2 linked regions of the Callithrix jacchus genome follow. The protein of the gene in region 1 purifies or fractionates together with the protein of each later gene. This does not show direct contact. Links are inferred from orthologs where the notes say so. Each region holds a gene or a part of one and is shown in the gene's direction. Other genes may lie near its edges.

What was found. The genes of interacting proteins can lie anywhere in the genome.
Region 2: the proteins of ARID2 (region 1) and BCL7A purify together in Homo sapiens (affinity purification with mass spectrometry; 3 studies listed by BioGRID and IntAct, counting the BioPlex papers as one, with this or other methods). This does not show direct contact. The link is inferred for Callithrix jacchus from reciprocal best matches to the Homo sapiens genes ARID2 and BCL7A.

The regions. Positions count from the first base shown.
Region 1 is NC_133510.1:29,645,726-29,649,470, reverse strand, and holds the start of ARID2 (AT-rich interactive domain-containing protein 2), read left to right. Parts: upstream 1-1,446; 5' UTR 1,447-1,574; coding exon 1,575-1,666; intron 1,667-1,781; coding exon 1,782-1,875; intron 1,876-2,043; exon of another isoform or gene 2,044-2,846; intron 2,847-2,943; coding exon 2,944-3,041; intron 3,042-3,745. UniProt on the Homo sapiens protein: Involved in transcriptional activation and repression of select genes by chromatin remodeling (alteration of DNA-nucleosome topology). Required for the stability of the SWI/SNF chromatin remodeling complex SWI/SNF-B (PBAF).
Region 2 is NC_133510.1:125,227,586-125,231,330, forward strand, and holds the start of BCL7A (B-cell CLL/lymphoma 7 protein family member A), read left to right. Parts: upstream 1-1,475; 5' UTR 1,476-1,647; coding exon 1,648-1,739; intron 1,740-3,745.

The DNA.
Region 1 (3,745 bases):
ATTTAAGACATTTGAAAGCAAGGAAAAACATTTTATTCGATATTTATTTTAAACGCAGTAATCTTTAGGAGACCTTACTATAAAAATGTAAACGTTAATTATTGTCGAAGTTGGAGATTGCTTGCTAACCAGTTTAGTTTGCATAACTTTGGTAATAGAATAATCCAGTTTGATATGTGAAGCCAACCAGAGGCAAGATGAATTATAAGCATTACTCTTTTTCCACAGAACTAGGACAGACAGTTCACATTATATTTAACGTATAGTTTGCTAAAGATAGCGTGTGGATAATTCATAGAAAATGTGCTAACCAGGCCCCAAAATACTAGCATAAGGCTCATAAAAACCAATTTCTTTAGACTTTACAAAAAGAGAAGGTAACAAATTGACTTTATTCCGATTTGTGAATGTTGCGTAGCGTGAGCTGCCCCGGTAAGCCTCCTTTCCCTCCAGAGCGCCACACCACTTTTGTTGGGCGGGCGGGGACTCCGAGGCGGCCCTTCCGACAGCCGGGCCAGGGACGCGAACATCGCCTCCACCCCTAACCCTGGAACAACCGGTAGTGGCCGTTCCCCCGCGCCGCCCCCCTTTCCGCCGGCTTTGTGTGCGTGTGAAATGTGCGGCACATTGCAGACGAACCCTAAGCTCGGCGAGCCGAGTCTATTGTTCCCCGCGAGGAGCTGCCGGGGCGGTGTGGAGCCAGGCGCAGTGCCGCGGCCGGCCTTTGGGGGTCGCTGTGCGGCACTAGCTGCCCGGCCGTGGCGGCGGCGCTGGCGGCGGCAGAGACCGAGGCTGACGAGGAGGGAAGCAGGCGGGCGGCGGGCGGCGCGCAGCGGCTCAGCTGCCGCCGGTGCTTCTGCCCGGGGACGCCCCGGCCTCAGCGGCCGAGGCCGCGCGTGAATGTGTGCGAGGGCTCCGCGGAGCCTGGGCCGAAATACACGCTGTCACCCCGCTTTCTACAAACCACACAGACCTCCCCCTCCCCACCCCCAGCCCCGCCTGCCCCAGGCCGGCCGCTGTCGCCGCCGCCGCCGAAACTCTAGGGCCTCCGGCCGCCCCGACCCCTCACCGTTGGCTCGCCTTGCCCCTCGCCCGCTCGCGCGCCCCCGGCAGCAGCACCATGTTGAATCGCGTACCCGGGCCAAGCCACCTCAGCCGGCGGCGCTGAGAGGCGGGCGAGAGCCGGGCCGCGGGGAGGGAGGGAGGGAAGGAAGGGGTGGGGGCCGCGCTCGCCCCGCGGCTTCGCGCGGATCCGGCAGTCGCCTGCCCCTCTAGTTTCGCTCCGATTTCTTTAAACTTTTTTAGAAATTCCCCTCCCTCGTTCCCTCCTCTCCCCCTGGCCTCCTGCTCCCTCCTTCCCCTCCTCCTCCTCCTCCTCCCCCTCCCGCCCTCCCTCCCTGCGCCGCCGCCGCCGCCGCCGCCGCCGCCGCCGCCGCCGCCACCGCCGGCCCGTGACTGAGCCCCGCCGCCGCCGGCCGAGGAATGGGCTCCGGGCTCTGGTAGGAAGCGCTGGGAGCGGGGGGCGCTTTTAAAACACCGATCTGGGTTTTTAAAAAACCTCCTTTGAAAAAATAATGGCAAACTCGACGGGGAAGGCGCCTCCGGACGAGCGGAGAAAGGGACTCGCTTTCCTGGACGAGCTGCGGCAGTTCCACCACAGCAGAGGGTGAGAGCAGAACCGGGGGGGCAACGCCGGGGCGAGCCGGGGCGAACGGGGCTCTCCCGCCCGGGCCGGGCGCGGGGTCCCGGCTGACAAGTGCGGGTCTTTCTCTCTCCCGCAGGTCGCCTTTTAAAAAAATCCCTGCGGTGGGTGGGAAGGAGCTGGATCTTCACGGTCTCTACACCAGAGTCACTACTTTAGGCGGATTCGCGAAGGTGAGTGGAAGTTTTAATTTGTATTTCCCTCTCACTGGCCTCCTCCAAAAAGTCTCCTTTGACCCCAGAGTGGGCGCTTGGGGCTGGGGGGGTGGCCCGCGGGGGCAAAAGGCGTTCTTTTCGCTCCCAGCCGGTGGCACGGAGGCGGACGGCGGCGGGGCTGTTTTTGGCCTGGTGGCTCGCGTGCGCGCGGCGGGCGCGGGGCTCCCGCGGGCTGGCGGCCCGGCGCCGGCTAGCGCCCTGCCCGGTGCCCAGTTGGGCCGGCGGGGTCTGAGCGCCGCGGCGGAGAGTGCGGGCGTGCGGGGCGCCAGCCGGAGCCCCGCGCCCGCACCGCCCGCTCGCTTGTTCGCTCGCTCGCTCGTCAGCTCTGCCGCCGCTGCCGCTCTAGCACAGGCTGAGACACAGAGACACACAGACTCAGAGCAGTTTTCGTGCAACTCAAAATTAGCGCGGGCAGGTTTAACATCGATAATCGGCTGCGAAATGATCCTGGCAGCCGGGGGCACAGCCTCGGCCCCGTCGCCCTCGGTTTATACAGCTAACAAAAGAAACCAGGACCTGTCTCCAAATAGCCATCTTAGGCTTCAAGGCTAGGCAGAAGCTGTAGGCCTCAAAGAAGGGCCTATGGAGATGGATAGATCTGGGAGAGGGATCGGAATCGGCCCCGGCCCCGGCCCCCCCAGAACCCGCGGACGTCGCTGTCCGGAACTGTATTGATCCTTTTGAACTTTTTTTTTTTTTTTTTTTAAGTGTAAACGGACCGCGTTGAGATTTAAAAGGGGGCGACAGAGGGACTTGCGATTGGTTATTGTCCCGGCTTCAAAAACAAAACAAACCCACCAATCCCCCCCAAACAAAACAAGTGGTATTAAATACAGGGCTGTCTGGTGAAAACAGTGATTCAAGACGCCCTTGCTTGCTTAGTAACTCTTACCTTACCGATCGATCAGAAACAACCATTGATGCCTTAGGTATCTACAGATCTCTGTAGAATGGGTATTTATTTCAGTTAGGTAAAGGTTTTTTTAGATTGTTCACTTTCAGACAAGTGTGCCTGTGTTTTACCAGGTCTCTGAGAAGAATCAGTGGGGAGAAATTGTTGAAGAGTTCAACTTTCCCAGAAGTTGTTCTAACGCTGCCTTTGCTTTAAAACAGTATTACTTGCGGTGAGTAGTAGTGACTTTTCCATAGTATTTGGAAATAAGGGACTTATGGAGAGATTTGTTTTTGGCAAAAACAAAAGCAAACCTTGCACACCAAACAGTTCTAAGCTCTTGTTCATTTTAGACTAAGACACATTTAATATAAATAAAGTGAGATTGTAGGAAGGTGCAAGTTTTTCTTACCAATTTTAGGATCGTTTACGTTTTTCATACAAAATCATTACAGGTGACACCCCACCCCCCATCTTGGTAAACATTCTTTTGTGACATTGTTATTGATCGCTTGATATCCACTGAATGGAAGAAAGGTGATGCTTAGTAAAAGAGTTAAGATAGTTAATGAAACTGTAATCTTTGGGAAAATTTTTTTTTCTTTGTTTTGGAAACTTCTTTGGTTTAAAAAATTCTGACTTTCAGATTTTATTTTTTAAATGAAACTTCTTGTTTGGAACAGTGACATTGAATAGGTTTTTCAGTAGAATATGAATGCATGGCATAACATGTTGGTGCCTTAGGTGACCAGGATTGTTTTGAGAATTACTTTTTGTTGAATTTCCAGTGACTTAAAAACGTTCAAAATGATTATTATATCTCTAGGAAAATGGGGATGCTATGAAGTGGGATACTATACTTTGGATTTTCTTTCATTCTCCCTCTTTCTTTTTTTTGACTGCTTATTTGACAAAGTTCTTATTCTGTTGGTATGC
Region 2 (3,745 bases), about 96 Mb from region 1:
CTGGAGTGCAGTGGTGTGATCTCCACTCACTGCAACTTCCATCCCCCAGGTTCAAGCGAGTCTCCTGTCTCAGCCTCCAGAGTAGCTGGGATTATAGGTGCCTGCCACCGTGCCTGGCTAATTTTGTATTTTTAGTAGAATGGGTTTCAGCATGTTGGCCAAGCTGGTCTCGAACTCCTGACTTCAGTTGATTCGCCCATCTCAGCCTTCCAAAGTGCTGGGATTACAGGCATGAGCCACTGCGCCCGGCCAGCATTTGTTCTTTTCTTCATTATTCACGTCAGGAGCTTGAGTTTCATAATAGTAAGAATAAATGCCTAGGAAAAGGCCTGCAGTTTCTCCATTTCCTCAGTAGCGTTTTCCCCAAAGACCAAACCCTCAGGGGAAACTGGTCTAGAGTAGCGACAGCTACAACCTTGTTGTATGTTCAGGGCTGCAACCTTGACCATTCCCGGGACTCAGTTTCCCCAGCTGTGAAATGGCAGGCCCAGGGCATGACATTCGGGCCACTCTCAGTCTCCCACTTCATTTCAGGCGCGCGTTAGCTCTGGTCCAGCCGGTTCCGATGCAGCTGAAGACCAAGGTGCGGCACCCAGGTTACCCTGATCATCGCAGATTCCTCTCCGGGGCTCTGTTCTGAGGCCTCAAAAGTCCTCCTTGTAGATGGGACCAGTCCCTTGTACCCGCTAGGGTCGTTTCGGCAGCAGCAGCGCCTGGTCTCAGTCTGGTACTGAAGTCAGGAGTGGCTTAAGGGGAAATTGTGGTCCTCTGGTGAACCCGAGCGAAGACCCTCTCGCTTTATTTCTGAGATAAAGCGGGGGCAGGAGGAAGAGTCCCTGTTACGATGCTGATCATCATCGAGCTTTTCCTGAGCTCGATGAAATTCTTTAGGTCGCATGATCGAGAGTCTCTCGTGGTCTGCCTGGCCCCAGGCACCTTCCTACGAACCCGGTGTTCCAAAAGGACAAGGCCTGGGGCAGGCGACGTCCTAGCTCGCATTCGAACAGGGCCGCGGGCCAGCAGAGACGCGCGATGCCCAACTCTTTCCGAGAGCACCTCGCGTCCCGAACCGGCGCCTTCAACTCGGGGAAGTCAAGAGTCCGGCAAGAAACTTGACCGCACCCGCCGCCGCGCTCCAGGCCCAGGCAGGGGCTGCTGAGCCGGCTCCCCAGGAAACGTGCTCCAGCGCCCCCGCAGACCGGCGGCCTCCCGGGGACCCCTCGGCACCTGCGGCCTCCGAGGAAGGGTCCGCGCGCACTTCAAGCCCGCCCCCGCCGCGCGCCCGGAGCCGCCTCCCTGGGAGAGCGTCCGGGGCGTCCCCCCTGGGGGCGCGGGAGGCCCGGGGGCGCTGCCCGGTGGCCGCCGCGCCCGGAGGCCGCACCGCCGGCGGCGGCAGCAGCGCGGCTCCCCCTGCTCCGTGCAGCTGCCGCCCGGCGCTTGCGCACTGGGCCCAGCGCGCGGCGGCCCCAGGCTTTGTGTGTGTGTGTGTGAGTGTGTGTGTGAGTGTGTGTGTGAGTGTGTGCGTGTGAGAGTGCGAGTGTCTGTGCGCCAGTGAGTGAGCGGCGGGCGGGCGCGAGTGTGGCCGCCGCGGAGCGCGAGCAGGACCCGGCGGGCGCGCTCCCCAGCCTCCGTCTCCCCGCCGGAACCATGTCGGGCAGGTCGGTTCGAGCCGAGACCAGGAGCCGGGCCAAAGATGATATCAAGAGGGTCATGGCGGCGATCGAGAAAGTGCGCAAATGGTAAGCGGAGGCGCCTGCCGCCCGCCGCCTCCCCGGCCGCCCCGAGCCCGAGCGCGGCTCCAGAAAGCCGCGGGGCGCAGCGCCCGGGCCGCCTGCCCCGGCCCGGCCCCGCCGCGGGCCCCGGGACTTGGCTAGGGCGCGCGGGCGGGCGGGCGGTGCGCGAGCCGGGTCACCTGCGCCAGGCGGGGGCCGCGGCCGCTGCCCAGGTGCGCTCGCTCCTGTCGCCCACCTGGCGCGGCGGCGGCGGCGGCCCGGAGGCGGCGGGCGCCGGGGCCGGGCGGTTGGAGCCGCGGGCAGCCCCCACCGCGGCGCTTGGCTCCCGGGAGGGGGGCTCGGGGCCGGCCCCAGAAGCCATTTCGTTTTGTGCAAGTCACATGAAAGCGGCTTCCCGCGCGCCGGGGCCGTGATGCCGGCGGCGGCGGGGAGAGCGCGAGCTCCATTGTGCAGACTCCGAGCGGGCCGCCGCCGCCGTCTCCTCCCCGCGCGCCCTGGCCCGCGCCCCGCCGCTCTCCGCCGGCCCCGGCCCGCCCGGCTGCCCGCTCCCGCCTCCCGGGCCCGGCGCCCTCGAGTCTGCGGAGTTTGCAGAGCGCGAGCCGTTTAAATTTAGCGCTTTGGGCTGCCTGGAGCGAGAGCTCTCGGCGACCAGGAAAGATGGGGGCGAGCGCCGGGAGCCAGCGGCCAGGGGCGCGGGGCGCCCACGTCCCACCCCGCTCTGCGCGGCGCCCGGGGCGGGGGGCTCGGGCCAGCAGATGTTTTTGGCCAGAAGCCGTTGGTCCTGGGCCGCGGCTGCCTTTCCACACCGCGAGCTCGTGTTTGTTTTGCGGAGGGAGCCGTTGTTTTTGTTCTCTGCACGGGGGTGAGGAGGACTCGGCGGCTGTCGCCGCCGCCGCCGCGCGTGGTTTTCGGTCTCCGGTTAGCGTCCGCCCGGCGTGGCCGGGTAGTCATTTAGGGGATCGAACCTCTCCGCGGCCTCGTCCGGGTCTGCTCGGAATCGTCCTCTGGGCCAGGCCCGAGGCGCCAGCAGATCGCTAGGTTGGGTCAGACTTGTTGAAAACTCCCCGCTCCCTGATTTCAACTTTATTATTTTTTTCCCACGCCTTCACCGGGGTCTGGGAGGGAGAAGAGCCGCTGCGATGCTGGCCCCGAGTGTCAGCGCCCGCGGGCTCGTCCCGACCCTTTATTTCGAGCCTGGAAGCCGGGCAGGCCCCTTGGCAAGGGATGTTTACGTTTAGGGGTGTCATTTCTCAAGTAGTGCCTCGGTCTCTAAAAGCCACTGGGGGCGAGCCTCCGGTGTGGCGGTGTCACAAGTTAGCTGTCCCTTCTGAGTCAAACCCAACAAAAAAGGCAAGAGGAAAATCAATAAAGTCCACGTGCTCTCGGGCCTCCTATGGAAAGGGCTGGCTGCGATGGCCGGATGCCCGGCCGTGGGCTGGGTTTGACTCCAGTGGGACAAAGAATTTTCAGAACCGGGAGAAGGGGAGGCTTTCCAAAGTTGAGATCCAAGTCGTCGATGTCTCGGGAGCTCCCCTGGTGCGCAGGGCGCCCGGTGCCCGACTGGAGCCATTTAAAAATGGCAGAAACAGCTGCAGGCCAACACACACACACTAGAAAGCAACCCGCAGCCCCCTCCACTGTGGGATTCCCCGTGGGAACCCTGAAGTGGCTCCCCTCCTCGCCTCAGCCCCTGTGCAAAGAAAGAACTGGTGTGTCTGTGCCTGGGTCCCTTCTGTCGCCGGCCTGAAGGTTGGGAAGCAGCCGGCAAGCCGCCTTTCTCTGCTTGGGGAGGCGTGGTGGGGCCTCCTGCCCCAGGTTCCCGGCAGGGCAGAGGCTCCTGCACTCTGACAGCTGCTCCCGCAGGGCGGCCAGCTGCTCTGCAGGGAGGGCAGATGGAGAGATGGGGCTTTCCACCCCGCGGGCCCCAGGGTGGCCAGCCTGGAGGCCTTCCAGCCCACTGAGCCCACGGGGACCAGGCCTGTAGTTGGGGCTGAGGGAGGCGGGGCTGCGCC